Linked DNA regions of Rattus norvegicus. The protein of the gene in region 1 purifies or fractionates together with the protein of each later gene. This does not show direct contact. Links are inferred from orthologs where the notes say so. Each region holds a gene or a part of one and is shown in the gene's direction. Other genes may lie near its edges. The genes, in order: Strap, Tgfbr1 and Snrnp70.

The links.
Region 2: the proteins of Strap (region 1) and Tgfbr1 purify together in Homo sapiens (affinity purification with western blotting; 3 studies listed by BioGRID and IntAct, with this or other methods). This does not show direct contact. The link is inferred for Rattus norvegicus from reciprocal best matches to the Homo sapiens genes STRAP and TGFBR1.
Region 3: the proteins of Strap (region 1) and Snrnp70 purify together in Homo sapiens (affinity purification with mass spectrometry; 3 studies listed by BioGRID and IntAct, with this or other methods). This does not show direct contact. The link is inferred for Rattus norvegicus from reciprocal best matches to the Homo sapiens genes STRAP and SNRNP70.

The regions. Positions count from the first base shown.
Region 1 is NC_086022.1:172,387,263-172,389,787, forward strand, and holds part of Strap (serine-threonine kinase receptor-associated protein), read left to right. Parts: intron 1-1,870; coding exon 1,871-2,020; intron 2,021-2,525. UniProt on the Homo sapiens protein: The SMN complex catalyzes the assembly of small nuclear ribonucleoproteins (snRNPs), the building blocks of the spliceosome, and thereby plays an important role in the splicing of cellular pre-mRNAs.
Region 2 is NC_086023.1:66,448,087-66,452,308, forward strand, and holds the start of Tgfbr1 (TGF-beta receptor type-1 precursor), read left to right. Parts: upstream 1-1,311; 5' UTR 1,312-1,393; coding exon 1,394-1,478; intron 1,479-4,222. UniProt on the Homo sapiens protein: Transmembrane serine/threonine kinase forming with the TGF-beta type II serine/threonine kinase receptor, TGFBR2, the non-promiscuous receptor for the TGF-beta cytokines TGFB1, TGFB2 and TGFB3.
Region 3 is NC_086019.1:104,995,829-104,999,479, reverse strand, and holds part of Snrnp70 (U1 small nuclear ribonucleoprotein 70 kDa), read left to right. Parts: intron 1-2,594; coding exon 2,595-2,696; intron 2,697-3,651. UniProt on the Homo sapiens protein: Component of the spliceosomal U1 snRNP, which is essential for recognition of the pre-mRNA 5' splice-site and the subsequent assembly of the spliceosome. SNRNP70 binds to the loop I region of U1-snRNA.

The DNA.
Region 1 (2,525 bases):
CAAAAACAAAGGTGTTATCCATTTTTGATAGAAATACAGACCCTCTGACAAGACTGAACTCATTTCCTCTTATCTGAGTCTTATCTTTACACTGATGTTCTGTAGTTCACTGATTTTTGATTCTTTATTGGGATGGAATATTTGTATTTCAAGTCAAATATGAAACATATGCAAGGGTATTTTGTTCTTTCTAAGGAGAGAACAGGTATATAATCCTGTTTACCCAGCCTCCTTTCTTCAACCTAAGTCTCTAGAGAATGGTGGGGGAATCATTGGTTTAACAAGGACCCTTTACAAAGAGTAATATATATAGGATTATAACATATAATATTTACTATATTTAATTTATTTTAACATAAAGTAATTAATATAATTTAAATCGAAACTAAAGTATAACTTAATATAGTAATATATAAAATATTAAGATGAGTTATATATTGACATGTAATATATATTATTTTATATATATAATATATTATTATTAGTTTAATAGTTCTTAAGAAGTAGAATGGCTGATGTATGATTAATTTGAAGCAGAAACATCCTAACTTTATCATGTGTAGAATAGTAAGTATGCTAGATAGGTCAGAGAGCACAATTTTTAGTACCTAACCAAGTCCAACTGTGTTTTGCTTTTAGTTTAAAAATCTCCCTTTCTGTCTGTAAACTGGCGTCTCTTCTTACCTGTATCTAAGTATTCTGGTTTTCCACCCACAGAGCTAACTCACTGGATTTATACACAAAGAGCAAGAAACGGCTTTATTTTGTTTCTTGGGAGAAACTGGTGGACCGGGGTTGCTTAAGTCAGTTCTATAGAATGTTCAGTCACATGTCCGTTTTTTTCGGCTTGAGAGAACTGTGGCTGGGCTGGGGCGGAGGAGGTGCTCAGCGTTGATGATCCAGGCTGTGTTCAGAGGAGAGATAGATAGGTGTGGGTTTTGGATACAGTTGTTCTCATCCAGTGTCTGTTCATGGAACTTTTGGGGTTGTGTCTGAGGGTTGAATCCAGGAGGTTTGTATATGATAGACAAATATTCCATCCTGGTCCCTCTACTCTTAGATGCTTCTATTCCCTGGCTAGTCAGAGATGGAGGAAACTCCAGAATAAGATGGAGAGGCATAAGATTATATATGAGAGATTCGTAAGTTTTCCTGCAGTAGAAAAACCTTCCCAATCACTACATTCCCGGTATTAAAATGCGGGGTCAGGATTGAACCTGTGTCAGCACTGTGGTGGAATTAGGAAGCCGGATAGATGGCCTGGTTAGGGAGTCAGGGGCTGGCGTCTGTAAAGAGCTCCATCTGCTGGCCCTCTGCAGGCATGGATGGATCGGCTCTAAAGCAGGGTGAGTTCAGGACCTGGACACTGGGGTAAGGTTCACAGACTTGAGCTCTAGTCTAGAATTTAGTCTTTATTGACAGCTTCTCAATTCTCAGTGGGACATGAAACTTCATTTTCCACTTTTGAAAGACAGTCTGTGTTGGGACACGGTCAAAAGAGTGACTCATAGTGAATAATACTAAGGGTCTCTCAGGGGACCCTGAGAGAGTCTGCAGGAAAAAGTCAGAGGCCTTTCTTTCCCCTCAGCTGCATTTTGTATACTGAAACCGCGATAGCATTGTCCACAGCATCAGACTGGTCCACCCCATCTTTCAGGCCATCAGATCCCATGGCTTCCAGACAAGAGCTGTGTGGATCAGTGAAAGTTGACAGGGCTGCCTCTGACATTGGACAGGAAAGGGCTAATTCTAGGGAAATGATCCCCAGCAGTACAGACGGACAGTATCTCTTCTAGTACAGTGCTATTTACCCTAATAATTAGCTTTGCATGTATTTAAATCTGATAACCCCACTCTTCACTGTTTTCAGAATCCTACAAAGGTCACTTTGGCCCCATTCACTGTGTGAGATTCAGTCCCGATGGTGAACTCTATGCCAGTGGTTCTGAAGATGGGACACTGAGATTGTGGCAAACTGTGGTTGGAAAGACCTACGGCCTGTGGAAATGCGTGCTTCCTGGTGAGGACGTCTCTTCAACGTTACCAAATTATGCTGCGGAGACTGTGTGTCCTTCACTAGTTCTGTTGCACTGTGTCAGTTGCCTTTAGACTTTGAGTTCTGCATATGGCATAAGCAAGTGAAATCATGCTGCTAACTGAGCAATGACCTTTATGTGATGAATTGAATGAACTGATTGCAAAATTTATTACAAAGGAGCTCGGGAGATGGCCCAGGGGTTCAAAAGCATACATAAAAAAATAAAATAAAATAAAAATAAAGCTTGTTAGAAGGCAGTATGAAGAATTTACAAGTATCTATTCAATTTTTTATAGTATTACTTGATCCTTACCACTGAAAACATGTTTTTAAGTTTAAATAACAAACAAACAAACAAACAAAAACTCCAAATACTTATTACTAATCCCAGAGTGACTGTTGTACTAAAGGTGGCTTTAGATGTCTCTTTTAGACTCACAGTGACTGTTAAGAGGAAGTGTGCTGTGTGAGTTGGTGAACACCTGCC
Region 2 (4,222 bases), on another chromosome or scaffold:
TGCAGTCCCAGAGAGCAGGCCTGTTCAGGTTCTGGCAGGTTAGGACTTGCTCAAGCGTGTCCTAGCTGGAGCCGAGAAGCAGTCTCAGACCCCAGCTCTAACCCCCACGGTTTGCTTTCATAAGCAGGATCAAACTCTTGGAGAGTGGCTGTAAAACAATTTACTAACAGATACTAGAGGCCGGCTGGTTCCTACTACCGAGCTTCATTTAATTCCGAGTTCAAATCATACAGAAAATAAAATTTTCTCCTTAAAAGGTTCTGCGGAAAAATGCTGTCGGTGCCATGCGGCCGCCTCCGTGACTGTGTTTGTGTCTGAAGAAAGGACTAGTCTGACAGGAAGAATTACAAATCTGGAGCTCATTTTGGCATCCCAGAGGGAAGGTGGGTGGAGCGTCTCACAGTAAATTAGGAATTCAGAATGAAAGCGGAGCTGAGTTTATTTGGGTTTTTAGTGACACCTCGAAATTATTACACAGGCGTGTCGGAGACAGCTCTAAGTACCTATGACTGCTCCCGCTTCGCCCCGAATCCCCCATCATTCAAAACCCGTAGGCCTCTCCGCTTCCACGCGGGGTCAGGAAGGTGGGAGGGAAGGAGAGCGGCGGGGACCCACAGTCTGTTTATACTGCCGAGAGACACAGGCCACTCAGGGGTGTGTCTGAGCTCCGCCTCGGGATTCAGAATCTGGGCTCCGACTTTGGGACTGGAATTTGAGGAGGGCAAGACTAGGTCTGGGGCGGCCATAGAGTGCGGGAAGAAATCGGGTTATCTTTGCGGGGAGGCTGGGAATTGAGGAGCGGGTCTAGGGAGAAGAAGTTGAACCGCGGACCGTATTGAGGGTCGGAGTGGCGATAGTTGAGCTTTGCCGGTGCAGGACTGTGCAGGGAAAGTCAGGGTGGGGTTGGAGTAGAAGAAAAGAGCGAGCAACGTCCACAGTCTTTCCCTGAGCAACTCTTACGGGCACACCCAGCGCTTAGTCCGGACTGCGGGCTCCCTCGGGCGCGCAGGCTGGACCCTGCCCCCACCCGCCGGTAGAGTACGAGCTACCCTGCTGTGGCTGGAGTATAGGCGCCCAGCGGTGAGGGGGCGTGGCCAGAGGCCCAGCAGTGCGGAGGCGTGGTTAGAGGCAGAAGTCCAGGGCCGCTCATTGGCCGCCCAGGGGCCCCGAGGGCGGGGCTCTCCGCTGGGTCCCTCTAGGGCGCTCGCGGGCGGCGGGGGAGGCGGGGTCGGCGGGAGCTGGGCAGCCAATGGGCGTGCGCCCCTCGAGCAGTTACAAAGGGCCGGAGCGAGGCCGCAGCGGCGGCGGGGAGGTGGGGCGAGGAGAGGCGAGGCTTGTTGAGGAGAAGCTGAGGCCGGGGCCGGGCCGGGCCACAAACAGTGGCAGCGGGACCATGGAGGCGGCGTCGGCTGCTTTGCGTCGCTGCCTGCTTCTCATCGTGTTGGTGGCGGCGGCGACGCTGCTCCCGGGGGCGAAGGGTGAGTGGCGGGCGGGTGGCTGTGGGGCGCGCGAGCCGGGCCCGGCCTCTGGCTCGCTTCAGCTCTTTCTCAAACATGGCGCGGGGCCGGGGGCGCAGGTGGCGGCGCCGGGCCGGCCGAGCTTTCCTGACCCGGCAGGCGCCACGCGAGCCGGGGCGGGGAGGAGAGGCGGGGCGGGGGCGGTGTCGAGCGCGGGTGGCCGAACACCGAGCGGAGGCCTGCCCTCTTGGGCTCCCGGGAGCAGCGGCTGGCGAGCCTGCTGAGGTCTGTGGCTGCCCTCGGGGGTGTGAGGCCGGCGGGGACCGTGGCCCCCTGATTCCACTGCCTAAGTGCTCTCCGGCCTGAGACTGTTAGGGCGTGGGCGGGCACCGGCGTGGAGGCGCTCCGGGGCTCGGCGCGTGGAGGGCTCCTCGGAGGGTCGTAAGGGGCGCCGTGGGCAGAGATCCCGGGTGGGCCGCACTGCTGTGAGTGTCGGCGCCCGCCTAGGGCGACTTTTCTTCAACCGGGGGCTTTGTGTGAGAAGCAGGCGCGAAGATGCGCGGAATGTTCTCTCTTCGTGCGTCTGGGAAGAGTTGAGAGTTCAGTAACCAGAAGATTGCCTTGCTAGTAGAAACTTGAACGTTTGCTCACTCTGCAGACTTGGGATCGTTTGAATGGGAATGATTCTGTAGAATTGATCAAAGATTTCTTTTTCTCGACGGGATCGTTGCTTTGGGTGTATCGTTTCCTTAAGCAGTAGTCTTAAAATCAGACCTCTATGTAGCTGGCTTTTGAAGGGAAAATGTGTAGTTTTCCAAAATATTAAAACCGGCCGTGATACGGTTGTCACCCCGTGGAGGGAAGATTGAAAAACTTAGTCCGGAACCGATTAAAATAGGAGAAAGCAAAATACTGAGGCTCAGATTAGCAACTAAAATACAGTGAAAATACATGTCTGTTGCTGAAATTGGATAACATTTTAAAAAGCAAAGCATACCAAAACAAAAATCTCTCCAGACTGTGGATGCCAGCTGTTATTAAACTTAATAGTAACTGTTTATTGGGAGTTGATTATAATGCAGATGTAAAAGGCACAGTATCTCGGGGCACAGAACCCTCGGGGCTACCAGTACTTGTCCTGTACATTGACTTGAAAACTGAGGTGCAGGAGATTACGTTCTTAGTAAGTGCAGAAATTAATTTGTACTTAGGCCTTTCTGGGCTCAAAATCAGTGCACCTGCTATACCGTAGCATAGCCCACTTAAAGAACAGTTGATATTTGACACTTAGAACTTAGCCATCAGTTTCTTAGTTTACTTGAACTTGAACAACCTAGTACTTGAACATTCCCTTCACAAAGGTCTTCATTAGAAGATACCATGGGTTTTTGACATTGGCTTAGGAAGGGAATAACGGTGGACAAAGTGGGGGAATTGTTATAATTATTCACCAACTATAAGTGGCCATATCTCTACAATTATTTGAATAAAGTAATTCTTTTCTACCTAAAACAAAGCAAGACACGTTCATGCATTTAGCAGTATTGACTTAGATGCTGAGAAGGTTGGTCCGTGTCCTGGAGGATTTTATTACTCAAAACCTAGACTAGTACTTCATAAACTTTCCCCGTTTGCCATCCTCTTTTCTCAAAAGATTGTACGTGACCTTGAGTACAAAATGTAGAAAGCAAGTATATAATTCAGATGTGCTGATAATAGATCATAAATGAAATTATTTTAAAACAATTCATTGGTACATACAATTTTACTATTTATTAAAGATTCAAGCACATTTTCATAGTAATGAGATGGGTGAGTTTATTTTTACTTAAAGAATTAAATCATCCAATGCCAACGACTCCATATAATTGTTTAGGGCCATTTCAGACATTGTTGAAAATTCTCTCTTAATCACAAGATGAAATTTATTTAATAATTTTTTATTTATATAAGTATGCTGTAGCTGTCTTCAGACACACCAGAAGAGGGCATCAGATCTTATTACAGATGGCTGTGAGCTACCATGTGGTTGCTGGGAATTGAACTCAGGACCTCTGGAAGGGCAGTCGATGCCCTTAACCACTGAGCCGTCTCTCCAGACCTCATTTAATAATTTTTAAAATGAAATTTAAGTCAGCAACTTAAACAGCAGTTTTTAAAATCAGACATTCTAACACAATACAGTCGATCTACAATCGATCACAAATATACCACTTTGATATACATGAAGGATGAAAGCCTTTTCTGTATGTATGTTTCTGGAAGAATAGAAAACTTTTTATTTAATAAAAAACATTAAAACTTATAAAAATAAATGTTAGCACTGCATAACACGACAGCAAGTGTGTTTAGAACCAAGGGTGTTGTGAAGTTGCATCATGTAACACAAGCATGCATTGCCAGAAACACTTCAGATTCATTACTCATTTGATTTTTAATTAATTTGGAGTGTTATACATTCAGAAGTCCTTGAGTATTGCCAGATTGTTGTATGACCCAGCACCTCTATAAGGAGTTAGGATTCAGTTTAAGAAGCTATGGCCTCTTGGTCCTGTGAAGGCTGGATGCCCCAGTGTTGTAGGGGAATGCCAGGGTGGGAAGGCAGGAGGGGAGCGGGTGGGTGGGGAGCACCCTCATAGAAGCAGGGGGAGGGAGGATGGGATAGGGAGTTTCCAAAGGGGAAGCCAGGAAAGGGGATAACATTTGAAATGTAAATAAAAAAGTATCCAATAAAAGAAAAGAAAAAAAAGAAGCTATGACCTGCT
Region 3 (3,651 bases), on another chromosome or scaffold:
GGCTGGGCCACCCGACCCTCCACCTCCCCACTCCAACCCCCACCTAGTCCTCATCAAGCAGTGATCTGGTGGGCATGTTTAGTACCCACTCCCACAGCTACAAAGCCCCATTGAGGCTATGCGGCGTCCATTCGGGTAGGGCTGGGTGGGTGGGGGTGGGCAGGGCTGCGGCGTGTCCAGGGGCCGCCGTATTAATTGACTGTTCTTATTGTCACTGCAGCCACCACGCAGCTGGCTTGCAGCTGATGCTTACGCTCCCCTTACAACACCTCAGTGTATGGTTGGTATAAGGGTTTGTATCATGGGTAAGATCACAGCACCGCACACCAGCCCAGCTTAGCCAGGCAGCTTAGGAACAGCGAGGCTTCCCCTCCCACCCTAGTCACCTTTCAGTCTCCCTTTACCCACAGCCCTTTCCTCATTTGGGTGCCCTCCACCCCTCTTGCCCCCATCCACATTCTCTCTGGTAATCTCACTGATCCCAAGGGGAAGGGTGGACCTCGATGGGAGAGGCATTTGCCTCCATAGTCGGGCTCCACCCAGCCTCTGACATCTGGGTCATATTGGTAATCCTAAAGCTGGGGTGTCCTGGGACCAGGGCTCTATGTGGAGCCCTTCAGCCCAACCCTCCCTGCCCTGTGACTTCTGTGGAGTTGTCACCATAGTGGTCTAGGAAAGTCTGATTTCTAGTTTGGGGTATTGTGTCCCTCCTGTCTTCCTTGGTGTGGTGGGAGCCTCCTGAGAAGGCAGCTGTGATGTCCAGTGCCTGAGCTCCCCAAAGTGCATGGATTGGGGTTCAGGGTATGGGAGGGGTGGAGCAGGCCTTAAAACAATTGAAGGTGTGGTAGTTTTTTACTAAATCTGTACAGAGGCGGAAGAGAGGGAAAGAGAGAGAAGCCTAGACTGACACAATTACACGGTCTTCTTGCTGTTTTCTGGGTTGGACATCTGGGGTTTGGGATGGGGAACCTAAGCAGGGTTCCTGTATTTGACTGAAGTCTTTTAAGTTCCCTCCCCTCTCACTCTGTTCTGGGGTTAGGGGCCGATTGGCCCCTCCTGGAGCATGGGAAGCATTTTCTTGGATCCCAGGTGTGTCCCCTGTGTGCTAGCCTCAGAGCTGTTGCCACTAGTGGGAGGGCACATGGAATCGAGATGGAGAACCTGACCCTAGTATTGAGTGCTGGGCCTGTACCTAGTGAAGGTGATTGAGGCAGTGGTGAGCAGTAGGTGTTTTTGAGGCCTTGAGGCCCACTGTTTAGGTTGGGCAGGATAGATAGACCCAGGTCTCCCAGCCCAGGTGCAAATCATCCCTCAGATTCTGAGGCTCCCTTTTTTCCTTCATCCATGTGTTTCTAGATGATGTGGGAAATGTAGTCTTTCCCTCTCAGGGTTCCCTGTAGCTTTAGTTGCCCTAATGGTGGTGGGTGTGGGGTCTGTATGAGTACTCAGGTAAGCTTGGGGTCTCCAGGTAAGCAGTCCCGTGTCCCAACCCCTACCCCACCCCCGGGAAGCCCGCCTCCTCGCCAGGCCCCCAGGAGTTGCCGGCCCCCCCCATCCCGCTCGGTTTGGACACCCGCAAGGCCGGCATCGGTAAATGGCACCTTTTTCTCTTCCTCTGGTTGTTATTGGGGGGGAGTGGGCAGGGGTGGGGCAGGGTATTGTGGTTGGTGAGCACAGCCCCTTAGGCCAGGACTGGGACCTGGACAGGGACTTTTTGGCCTTCTTAACAGCCCTGCCTGATCACAGGCCTGGACTCTGGGCCATCCCACTATGTCTTATGTTCCTCAACTTCCCTGAGGGTTCAGGCTGGGCTGCAGGCCCTGCTGGCCATTGACCTCGACTTGGAGGACAGAGCTGGCCAGGGTAGGTGGTGGCAGGGTCAGTCGGCTCAGGTAAGGCAGGGATTTTGAGTAGCACGGCACATGTCCCTCTGGGTCCAGCCAGGGTCCTTGGAGGCCCCTGGGGAGCTCAGCACCCACCTGTATCCCTGCCAATTCCTAAAGGTCTTTCCACTCCTGTTCATTTCTGTTCTGATGTCTGTTTCCTCACACTGACCTCCCCTATAAAAACACACAGAAAAACCAAAAATGAAAAACAAAAAAAAACCTGGTGTGGTCTGGATGTGGAGGGGCCCAGTGGGCCTCCTGCCTAAGCATGGTGTCTAGGGTGCATGCCTGGGTGTGGAGGGGCCTAGCCAGCCTCCTGCCCAGCATGGTGTCTAGGGTGCATGCCTGGGTGTGGAGGAGCCCTCCCCACAGCAGAGGCCAGCATTCAGCTAACCTCCAGTTTCTTTGCAGCAACTTTGGCCACCCTGGCAGGAGGGGGCTGCTCCATCATGTGAAAGCTGGGGGAGGCCAGGGTGAATGGTTTGCCCCCCAATAGCACTTGGGGGTGCCCGAAAGGAATCAGGCACTGGATGGAGCAGGCCCTTCAGGGTGGGGAGAGGGCTGTCTGGCTGTTGGTTGCCTGGCTGACTGGTGGGAGTGTGAGTGTGTGTGTGCAGATGTGGTTTGAGGGGCAGGGATGCTGTTGTATGGAGCCTTGTCTGACTAGAGGACCTTCTGGGGATTCCCCCTCCCCCACATCTGTTGCAGCCGCTTACAAGCACGCAGATGGCAAGAAGATAGATGGCAGGAGGGTCCTCGTGGATGTGGAGAGGGGCCGGACTGTGAAGGGCTGGAGGCCCCGGCGGCTAGGTGAGTGCATTTGCCCTCGGGGCACCTGGGCCTGTGAATATAGATTATTATTCTTCAGTCTCCCCAACCCATCTGCCTGTTCCTCCATTTCCAGCTTGTCTTCTTATCATCTTCATGGCTTTGGACGCTGGTGCACACAGACACCTACACATGAGCACCCAAGCATGCCCTGGTCTTCCCTGCATGAGTGATTGACCAGCAGCAGCTTTTGTGCAGTGTTGGAAACTTCCACACTGACCTCAGCCACCTTATGCCCAGTGTACTTGGTATCATGGGGTGGGTTGGAGAGAATCACTGGCTCTAGCTTTGCTCTTGCTCTCACTGAATGGCTTCGCTTCTTCACTCTCTAGCTGAGTCACCAGCCCAGCTCCTGGCTTCATACCTGAAGCAAGAGAGCAGCAGCAGCCTGTGCTCTGATCTTGCATCTGTCCCCTCACTTTCTTTGTGGTGGTTATGGGCTATCTCCATGGGGGTTGTTGTGGCAAGTCTTGAAATGCATCTGAGGGTCTTTTTAATTTTTTAATTTATTTATTTTATGTCTGTGTGGACACTGTTGCTCAGGACTTCTGGAAGAGCTTTAACCACTGAGGCTCTTGTCTCAGTCCCAAGGGTTGTGATGTCAGTAGATCCTCATTAAGACCTTGAGGCTGGACTTTGAGAGTTTGCTGCTCACTCTGTAGACAGATGTCAGTCTCTTTGCTGATGCCTCAGATTAGGCCCGAGCTGGGTTAGGTCTTTGTCCTGGTGCTTCACTCTGTCTCAGGCAGCATCACCTGGCTTTGCTTGCACCTGTGCGCCAGTGCTAACCTCCCACCCCAACCACAGGGGCCCACAGTTCTCTTTTAAAAAGGGTGAATTCTTGAGACTTTGTGCTGTGCTGAATGAAGTCTCAGAAACAAGTCAGTTGTTCTGGTGTATGGATTTGTTGATACTAATATAAATAATAAACTATGAG